3 linked regions of the Coturnix japonica genome follow. The protein of the gene in region 2 purifies or fractionates together with the protein of the main gene of each other region. This does not show direct contact. Links are inferred from orthologs where the notes say so. Each region holds a gene or a part of one and is shown on either strand. Other genes may lie near its edges.

Region 1 (3,500 bases), on a different chromosome or scaffold from region 2:
AGCAGGGCAGTTCTGCAGCTCTCATGTCAGCAGCAAAAGAGAAGCTGGACCCAAACCTTTGTGTATGTTCTTTAGGCCCTCAGTGCTCAAATTCTGCCTTAACAATCCAATTAATGCTCTCCACATATAAAACAGTCTTCCAGTAGCTACAAACAAGACTCGGTCTTCAGCTACAGCCAACAGCACGAGCCTCTTGGAGCACTCAGGCCAGGCAGGCAGACACATCTACTCTTTCTTCACCATGGAAATGCACTCCTGTGCTCCCCACAGCATTCTTCCACTTAAAGCTCACAGCACCCAAAGGACCTGTGATGGCTCTTCCCTTGAAGAATTTAACACATGGAAGTACTGTTGTATAGCAGTGCATTCTACATGGCCTGTACATTTATCTCAATACACTACTCTGAGGAGTGTATGTGTGTATAGTTCTTGCTCACCAGTCCATTCTGCACAGCATTTTCTTGCTTTAAAAAGAGATGCAGAACAGTGTTTCTTCATTGTCTCTGGAAGGACTATAAAAAGTCTTTTCACTATTAAAGGATCCCTGGAAAAGATAGTAACTGCCTACAAAATGTTAAGCAAAAAAACCCCAAAGCATGAGGTTTAAGACAAATGATACTGTCTTAATTTATATGCTCTGCTTGGAAGATTTTAGATACCCATCAAGAAATGGTATTTGGGACTGTATGTAACTGGCAGAGCTGCACCCCATCAGCACGCCAGCATAAAATTAGAAACTCAGAACTTGAACAATTCCACAGAGCAAACAAAATGCTATGAGTCAAAAGAGAACAGTCCAGAGCCATTCTTCAGAAAGGAGTCCCAAGCCAACATCGTTCCCATTGGCAGCATATGAATCAGTGCCAGGTAGTTAAAAGAGACACTCCACTGTTTCTGTGAGAGTGAAGATGGGAAACGTGGAGGCACTTATCCTGCAGTGATGGATCTGAAGTCTCTGCAGAAATGCGTAGGACTTCAATTCTACATGAGAGTGTCTGCTCCACATTAAACCATCACTTAAGGAGGCCAGGGTTGGGGGGGCAGGGAACAGCTCACTGTTCTAATAGCCAACAGTTTCATTAGCCCTCACTGATGAAAGGCTCAGCTCACTCCAAGTTCTCCATTTTAGGTAAAGCTGCACAGGCTGACTAGACTCACCATTCAGTTATTTCCATCTATTCTTCCCCCCTTTCTGAAGGGAGAAAATAGCAAGGCCCTACAGCTCATTATACATCTAAGTTTCACAGTTGAGACGTCCAGAATATCTTAATATTCCCTGTTCCTACAAACACAAGAGTGCTTAAACTTAATGGTAACAAACCCAGAGTCCAGATCTTCTTAGCTAAATGGCACTACACTACAGCACCAACTACATCTTACCATTTGCCGATATTCCCGAATCATTTTTAATTTATCTTCTCCTCCTTTGTTTTCTTCTTTCTGTTCAATGCTGCTGATTATTCTCCAGGAAGCTCTTCTGGCTCCAATCACGTTTTTATATGCAACAGAAAGCAGGTTTCTTTCTTCCACTGTCAACTCCACATCCATTCCAGCCACTTTCTTCATTGATTCAACCATTTCTAGGAAGAAAAGGTCACGCAGTTATTCTCAGTATTAAAGCATCTTTCAAACCATTCACGAGAAGCAGCGCATTAATGATAACTTGTCAAAATAGGCTCCCTCCTCCTTTCATCCAGTTACACCTTGCTTTTATAGAGGAATGCTCCAAACAAGTCAGCGAGCACATACACAAAGAACTACCTGATGCTCTTTCAAATGCATTTGACAAGGGTACCCAAAACATTCCTTCAAGACAGTTTGAGACACAAACAAAACCAGCTTAGCAGAAGGATTCCATAGAAGCAAAGCAGAAAGAACACTGTCGTTATGGAAGCAAGTTGAAGTTCCACGAGGAAACCACCAGAAGAAAAATCAACTGCTTGGAGAAGTGACAGGAGAGTCCTCCTGAGGATAAGCAGAGCAGCACCACCCAGCCATGCCAAGCAACTATTTGCACTGGAAAAATAACACAGTAAATGTAATTTGTATTTATAGATTAAACCGTTTAGAAAAGACTCCCAAACCTCAGGTGAAAAAAAAAAAATGATTACTAAATACAGCTTTTCTACGTCCCAGTGAAAGTAAAAACCTAAATTACTTAAAGGTTTTAATCCTTTCATTACCTCATCACATTATGATTTCCTATGACCTAACAGAAACATAAAGGCTGAAATTATTACATATCTGCTGAGAGAGCTTAGTCTGAGATACCCGGAAGCCCTACGTTACCTCCTGCTAACAAGTGCTTCACTCATTCAACCTTTACCTTTCAGCTTCTAGAGCAGATGAGAACCCCACAGACAGGAAAGCCATTAACGAGCAAGACTGAGCCCCCTGCAGCCCCTAACCCTATCTACCTCACATCCTCATCCTCCCCTACCCCCAAACCTTCACATGTTCTGCTGCATAATGGCAGTAAGAAAGAAGATGCAAGTGAATCTGAATTGTCTTTCCCTTCCCCCATCAGGTGCCCAAACTCATCACCTTCACAGGAAAGAAGCCATTTCAGTAATAGAACTACAGCCTCAATTTTCTCCCTTGCAGGAATGGTGTTATCAGTCTCCAGCAGGTTGCCACATATGCAGGACAATTTAATAGCAGCTCTGTTCTCATCAGGAGTAAAAAACAGCCCTACCTCTACCAGTACATTCTGCTGCTCCAGCTCATGAAGTAACAATAAGTGATACTTGGGTAAGTGTTTTCCACACCCTACAATTTAAAATGAACTCTTTTTGATGAAGATTTCAGAAAGTCATCCTAAACTGCTCTTTAAATATACTTAGTGTAAGTACACAGTCTCATAATTTAAACTAACCTAAAAGCAGTGCTATATAGTTACAGCAAACAACTTGAACAGTGCATGCTCTAGGATTTCTTTCCTAAAGGGTGACCCATCCATCTATTCAAATCATCTCAAAACTTTGATCTTTTTTTCCTTAAATCATGAGTTATGTTCTCAGATTTTCATGTTACTTATGCAGCATTCAAGTACATTCAAGGCAGTCTGCCTGCCACAGTGTTTGCTCTTGTGAAGGACGACCAACACGAATGAAGACTCGCAGTCCCAGCTAGTTGGATATCTGTGCCAAGCTCCAGCAAGAACCATAAGGCTTGTATTTTAGCTTAATGTTTAACTGCCCTCAGATAAGAAAAGTAATTGAAACTGTGCCACAGCTTCAGCGATGAACCCGTAGCTGTGACTGCACAGCCCTCCTTTCACTCCTTGAAATGAAAGGAGTCATATGAGTTCATGAGCAGAAGAAATACCCCCTAGAAAGTAATGCAGATAACAGGGGAGGTGGTGATGCTGTGCTCATCTTTCATGCTCATTTCCAGGCATCCACCATCACTCTGAAGATCTTTGAATGTGACCGCCACCCTTCACCCAAACTTGTACTGTCTAAACCTTTGTATCTCTTTATACATCAGTGTGACATACG
Region 2 (3,500 bases):
TTAATTGCTCAACTGTTTTGATGCTTAATTTGCTGTTGTCCTGAAGCAAGAACAGGACCAAAGAGAGTAAAAATAGTGGAACATGTTACTAGCATGATAAAAATATGACTAAACTCACACCAGATATGCCCACTTTCTTCCATCTCTTCTATGTTCCCTATTATGTCCTCAGTTCTGGACAGTAACAGTGAAGGTATGCACAAGGTTTAAGATTACCAATCAAGTCAGAGAACACCACACTGAACACAGTCATTCTACACACACAGATGATGTAGCACAATGTAATTCCCATAAATTAGGGTTAATGAAAATTGAGCATGAACACAAGACAGCATCTGCAGAGTTTCTGCACTCAAACCTGAACCATAAAAGTCAAATTCATGACGTGAGCCAGTAAAACATGTCAGAGACATTAATAGACTTGTATCTGCCATTCACCACTGTTCAGCAAGGGCATATGTTTAGCTACAATACTGTTTCCATTCACCAAGGATGATGGGAATAATCACATGTAAAGATAGGAATGTGTTACTTCAGGATTTGTAAAAGGACATAATTTTAATGGTTTTTTTTTTTTGCTTTTTTTGTACAACTACAAATGATTGTTCTGAATTTTGTAAAACATCGTTTCCTTCAATTCTTCTATGCTTAAAGGAGGCAAAAGTGAAAAAAGTAAATATGAAGCAAATACGTCATTATAAGCTGTTTATACAAATATTCTCATTGCAGTGAAAAAATGAAACGTTCTCTGTCTTTTCACAAAGACTCCATTTATATTCATTTTTTGTTATTTTCACCTAAAGCAGTAGTTAATCACGACAACAAGCAACAGTGCTACTATTTGCACCGGGTAAAAGAAAAGTTATTGAGCAAAATAGAAGTGTATCCTCAACGTTACCTGTCGCATTAACTCCTCCTGGCGCATCCTTATTCGTTCCCTCTCCATTTGGATTCGCTGGAGCCTCAGTTTCTGCTGCTGCTGCTGCTGCGCCGTCAGTGCATTGGGCATGTTCAATAGGCCTGGCTGTGGAGTCTGGGAAGGACAGCTTTGCTGTGAGATGGATGTGTTGCCTGTTATTTGGTGCTGGTGATTCATAACTGCAGGAAAGAAATCACAGGTGTGCTCAGTGAGTGGCGGGGGGGGCACATAAGTCTGAGGTGGGAGTACAGTGGGACACAGGTGATCAAAGAGATATCTCAAACCAGATGGGGATGTGCTCTGCAAGAAAATGCACAATGCATTTGTCTTCCTAAGTAACCAATACCCATGCTGAAATCCTATTTTCCTGGAAACAGCTTCACATCTGCCTGCTGATATGAAGTAGTGAAGGAATTCATCCTTTTGCTTTGCTTGCATGCACAGTTTTGACATTACCTCCACTTTACCTTTAAATAAAACATACCAGTTCTCAGAAATGCAATATCCTTTGTGAACCACAGGGTGAATTGTTCCTCATTTCCTCCCCTGCCTTCACATTTCCAGGAAAAAAACAAGTATGGTGCCTGAAATCAGTTTGAATGATAAGTGGTAGCCACATACCGCTTTAAAAATTCACTGACATTTTTGCAAGTATTCTTTCACTAATGAGGTGACAGCATAACTAAGAAAGCATCTCTTTTTTAACAACAACACCCTAGATAATAAAGTACTTCTCAGAAGAGCTACTTTATCTTTCTTCCCAAGGAACTGAGATTTGTTTCTTTCTTGTCTCTCACTCACTGCTCTTACCATATGAAAACTGAAATCTCAACACAGTTCTCTGCTTCTCAGAACTTGATCTTTATGCTGAGTTCGCATCTAACACTGTAGGATGCAGTACAGCAAGAACTCTTGGAAGTGTGCACTGAAAGAGATGGGTTGATAATTTCAGAGTCTGAAAGCTCTCCGAGCTTTCTGCCAAATCAGGTATTGTCTGTCATTCTGCAATTGGAGGTATGCAGGCATTGGGCCAGGATACATTTTGCCATGCTTCATTAGGCTGAAATATTCATACGTGCTTACATCAGATCTGAACTGAATTTTCACAGAATAACAGAGTGAATCATAGAAATGATTTGGGTTGGAAGGGACCTTCAAGATCATCTAGTTCCAACTCTTCTTCTGTAGGCAGGGACACTCCTCACTAGACCAGGTTGTTCACAGTCCCATCCAGCCTGGCCTTGAGTGTTACCACAGAGGGGACATCCACAGCCTCTCTGGGAAACCCGTGCCAGTGTGTCACCACCCTCATAGTAAAGTACCTTCTCCTGATATCTAGTCTAAAACTACCCTCTTCCATTTTAAAGCTATTTCCTCCTGTCCTGTCTCTACATGCCTTCATAAGAAATCCCTCTCCATCTTTCCTGTGGGTCCCCTTCAGGTCCTGGAAGGCTGCTTAGGCTCAAGAGCATCAGCTCCCTCAGCCTGTCCTCACAGGGGATGTGCTCCAGCCCTCTGATTTTCTTTGTGGCCCTCCTCTGGACCCACTCCAACATCTTTCTTTCTGGATGACCCAGTATCACATAGGTCCTAGCACTGTGGGGTCATCTGAGAGCGCAGTTATGATATTTTAGCTTCAGTGGCAAATTCAGCTCGAGAAATAATCCAAGCTAAAAGAAGCCCTGCAGTAATGTAACCTTTCCACTGACTTAGGGTATGTGGTCCACAGACAGCTGTATCCACAAAAATGACATCATGCTTCCTCATGAAACAGGGGTATTGACTGTTACCACCTCTTCCATGCTCAGCTGCTTGCTCCTGCCCACAAGTCATCCTTTTACTGGGCTGGCCAACACATTTCTGTAGCTGTATAACAAACTAAAAATTGCCTGAAGCTAGAAAGGTATTTTCTAGTTAGACAGGTTCCTAACAAAAGCACTGGGTAGCTGTGAAAATGTTTATGCTCAGTGAACACAGGAGAACAGATGGGAGAAATAAACTGTTTTCAGGGAAGAGGAAAGATGGACAAATCCAGCTTTTCACTGGCAAATCTCTAAAGGACAGCAAACTGCGGCGCCAAGAAGGAAAGGTAGGAATGAGAGATGGGTGCAAGAATCAAACTACTTTTGTAATGGAAAGCTTTGAAACACAGAGGATCTAGTCTCATTCTAATTAAAATAATTAAGAAATATTATAAGTACAATTATATGAAGAATATCAGTGTAAATCTGGTGTTAAATTTCCAGTACCATAAACACTTCAGCAGGAATTTAACTCTTTTCACATGTGTAAACATGAGTTTAGATCTTTGGCATGTCAGTGGTTGGTTGACTGACAGGACAGCTACACTTACAATCCAGGCTGGCTGAGGGATTACACCACAATACAGTCAGTCTTACATATAAACACTGTTTTCATCTAAGCAGCACATACAAATTATAGAACCAGGCAAAGTTAAGTGAAGTCTAATAGCGTGTATGGTGAATCAGGGCTAGAGCCTGAGTTGTAATACCACTTGCCATGCTACCTACTGCCTTTGCTTTAAAACACTCCCCCTTTATCAGCAGATCTGCACCAGATC
Region 3 (3,500 bases), on a different chromosome or scaffold from region 2:
GATTCAAGACGTGCTCCAGAACAGCATTTTCATGGCAAAATGTCACTGTGAACACCCCCTGCAGAAACCTGCCAGCTCATCTGCCTTTTTTCTCAAGCCTCTAACAGCATCAAAGTGGTCAATCGTGCCATGTCACTGTGATTACAAACATCAGATCCACTGTGCAACTGACCCAAACTTAAGAAACACAAATTCCTCCCCACGTTATGTTGGCCAAGACAAAGGGGGTAAGGCAATGAGTAAATCAGCCAGGCTCAGACATGAGCGATTTACACCCATGCTGTAGCATAAAGGAGTGCTAGGCCCAGCCTGTAAATGATTTTGCACACTGATGCAGCTTGATTTAATTTGCCTGGTCTTGTGCCTCAGTGCCTCCTCCCTTAGCCAAGCGGTTCTCTTGAATCAGCTTGCTGCAGAGCGAGAAGAATGGTCACCACTTCAGCGGGAAGGAATAAAGCTGATGCCTCTTGGCAAAACACTCCTTCCTGGTGACAACTGCCCAGGGTCAGGCCATCTGCATCCCCTTGTTAGGCAGCAGCTGCTCTACTCGCTCTGCAGAAACCCTTCTTCCTTCTAGGCAGCAGTAATAGCTGATTTAATTATTGATGATGATGGACAGTGGAGGAGTTCTTCAGGGGGAACTCATGGGCACCACATGTCAAGAATACTTGGATAAAACCCTTCTTTTACGGCAATAGAACCACTCCTGTCCTTTTACAGGACATTGCAGTTACTGTCCAATCACGATGAGGAATACCGATAGACCCAGCTAAGTATTCAAACTGCATGCTCACATTACGTCCAGTGTCATCTTTGAGATCATTTTTACCTGTGCGAGTGTGAGGTACAGTGTACTGTTATTTATCTTGAGATGTAGGTGTATGTTCTGGACGGGGAACGAGTGGATTCTGCTTGGGCAGCTGGGTCATTCAGAAAATCCCAGATGAGGATGGTGTCATCGTGTGAGCTGCTGACAATCTGGAACTCGTCAAACTGAAGTCGAAAAACTCTTCCAGAATGCTCCTAAATGGAAGACATGGCGTGTTAATTCACAAATTCCAGCATTGTATCAATTTCTCAGTCAGTAAACTCCATACAACACACTGCCCAGACCTATCACTAAACCACCCTTGGTGAAACAAGTTTGCCATATCAGTGTTCTTGGCTCACAAGGAATTTTACATTACATTTGTAGTATTATTCCTTCAGTCCCTATGAATGCACTGTGCAGAACAAACCAAGACCCCTCCACTATACAAGGCAGCCTTGCGAGGCTGATGGGAGCAAATCCTGCCTTGTTCTTTGGCTCCCTCCTGAAATCACGGTGTTCCCAGATGCTGAAGGTTACAGGGGGATTAGGATTTTGCAGTCAAGGCTTGGCAACACTGCTCCTGCTCAAGAGGGAAAAGCTTAACACTGGAGGACACTAAGGAGCCTGTTGTAAAGAAGTCCAGTGACACAGTAATAATTCCTCTTAAGCAGTTCTAAAAATATGAACTAGAAAGCGCATTCTTTATAGGCAGCTTGCATTCTGCTCTGAGGCTGAGTGGAAATGGCATGACGACTTGGCAAGAGTTCAGACTGTAATTAACAGGAGGTAACAGAAAGATCCTGAATATCACAAAGCAAATCCAGAAGGCTTTCCCTTTTGCACTGGCTGCTTTTTCTTGGTGCTTACTGCCACAGGAGCGAGCAGCAGCCTCCTCAGGAAGAAGGGAACAGAGACCATGCAGTTGGGACAAGCCCTCTCTCTCTAATACACATCCCTCTGTGGCCCAGGGTCAGAAAAAAAAATGCTCAGAAGCATTTTACAGCTTTTTCAAATATTTGGACAAAAGAGAAGCTTCTAAAACGGAAGGCTGTGTCTTATGGCACAGGACTCTGAAAATACAGCTTGGTTTAAAAACACGGAGAGAACAGAACAGCTGCCTTATAGGGAGCCTCTGAAGCTCTAAATCAAATACACACAATCCAAAATCAGATTCTATTTTGATGACAATTTTATTATAGAGCCCAATCATTGGGACCTTCCTGGTCTTCTGACCCAATAACCCTAGTGCACCTTACAAGCACTTCATGGGTTTACTCAGTACTAAAAAGAAAAGCATTTCCAGACCCTGTATCCCTGTATTGTATCAGTGAAGTAAAGCAATTCTTGCTAAAAAATATCACTACAATGGCCAGATCCACTGATAGACCCTTAGCAGATGCACCAAGAGAGAAGTGTTTCTACAAACTATTTTGAAAAGCCTTTTTCCTCTCAGCCACTGTAGGCTAAGACTGCCCTAGAAGTTCCATGCAGCCATCCCCATTGCATTTGCAGTGACAATAAGCAGACTGCACACCCTAAGCTGAGGCTGCAGGAAGCCGGGCCCTTCAGCTCAGAAGGAGAGTTGTGCTGTTTGCTTTTTCTGTGCCTGGAAAGCTTCTGTGACACTCGTGTGGCTGCTGTTCCAGCTAACGGGAGGGACCTGGCACGCAGAGAGCATTTGTTATCTGTGCACTTTCCTCCTACTGTTTGAAAATTGAACACGAGCAGCGGGAGACTCACGATGTTCATTGTGCAGCCAGGTTTAATTTTGGAGGCCGAGAGAAGAGAGGGGGAAAAAAAAACCACCACAACTATGGGTAAGCGGGTATAAGGACGCCCTGTTGTCATAAACATGAAAAGCCCTAAAAGCACTACGACAGCCTCCTCTGCCCCTCCTCTTCTGGCCTCCTCCATCGCTATCAAACAGGGATTTATGAGTATCCATGTGTCGAGATTCCTACAGTGTTTCCATCCCACCGCTTCTGATTTATAATACAATTAGTTGGGGCACTTTGGCTGTCCACTGCTGGAAAATGCAGAGGAAATCGCACCAGTTAAATTAAGTCTACAGGTTACTAGGCACACATTTGTCTCGGGCTGGAGCAGAAACACCACTAATATCACACTGAAGTCTTGGACTCTCGGGATACGTGTTCATGGGCACAGAGCTGTTCCACAGTTTGCAGCTGGGTGGCTGATGACAAAAAGGTTTTCTGGATTTCAGCCATGAAACTATTTGTAGTTCTCTGTGGCTACCAAGGAGGTTTTTCAACACAGCATCTGCAGGCATCCAAGGCTCTCACTGACTCTTACTCTGCAGCTTATGGTACAAATATAGGATTGGAGAAGAGCTAGTGTGGCTTAATGACCTACTGCCTGTCAACCCTCAGAGCCTGTGCAAAATGTGAAGCAAAATACTTTAGTGAAATTTGGGTGGTAGATGAGGGTGCAGGTGAAAATGAAAAGGTTGTTTTTGTGTGTTTATTTTCCCCATCAGATTTTGGAATTTACCGCTTTTCTTTAAGAAACTCCCTGCCAACAGCTCATGGAAAAAGGCACAGTTAAGCAAAGCCACCAACACATGAATTCCAAGCACAAGTCTCAAAAATGACTTAGTTCTTAACTTCAAATCAAGAAGCCAGATCTCTAGAAATGACTTTTAGATCCTGCAGGCTGGTGCTAAACTGAC

What was found. The genes of interacting proteins can lie anywhere in the genome.
Region 1: the proteins of WWTR1 (region 2) and YWHAE purify together in Homo sapiens (co-immunoprecipitation; 5 studies listed by BioGRID and IntAct, with this or other methods). This does not show direct contact. The link is inferred for Coturnix japonica from reciprocal best matches to the Homo sapiens genes WWTR1 and YWHAE.
Region 3: the proteins of WWTR1 (region 2) and BTRC purify together in Homo sapiens (affinity purification with western blotting; 8 studies listed by BioGRID and IntAct, counting the BioPlex papers as one, with this or other methods). This does not show direct contact. The link is inferred for Coturnix japonica from reciprocal best matches to the Homo sapiens genes WWTR1 and BTRC.

What each region holds. Positions count from the first base shown.
Region 1 is NC_029534.1:3,997,534-4,001,033, reverse strand, and holds part of YWHAE (14-3-3 protein epsilon), read right to left. Parts: intron 1,581-3,500; coding exon 1,381-1,580; intron 1-1,380. UniProt on the Homo sapiens protein: Adapter protein implicated in the regulation of a large spectrum of both general and specialized signaling pathways. Binds to a large number of partners, usually by recognition of a phosphoserine or phosphothreonine motif.
Region 2 is NC_029524.1:21,181,945-21,185,444, reverse strand, and holds part of WWTR1 (WW domain-containing transcription regulator protein 1), read right to left. Parts: intron 1,099-3,500; coding exon 899-1,098; intron 1-898. UniProt on the Homo sapiens protein: Transcriptional coactivator which acts as a downstream regulatory target in the Hippo signaling pathway that plays a pivotal role in organ size control and tumor suppression by restricting proliferation and promoting apoptosis.
Region 3 is NC_029521.1:19,976,710-19,980,209, forward strand, and holds part of BTRC (F-box/WD repeat-containing protein 1A), read right to left. Parts: intron 1,024-3,500; coding exon 862-1,023; 3' UTR 830-861; intron 1-829. UniProt on the Homo sapiens protein: Substrate recognition component of a SCF (SKP1-CUL1-F-box protein) E3 ubiquitin-protein ligase complex which mediates the ubiquitination and subsequent proteasomal degradation of target proteins. Recognizes and binds to phosphorylated target proteins.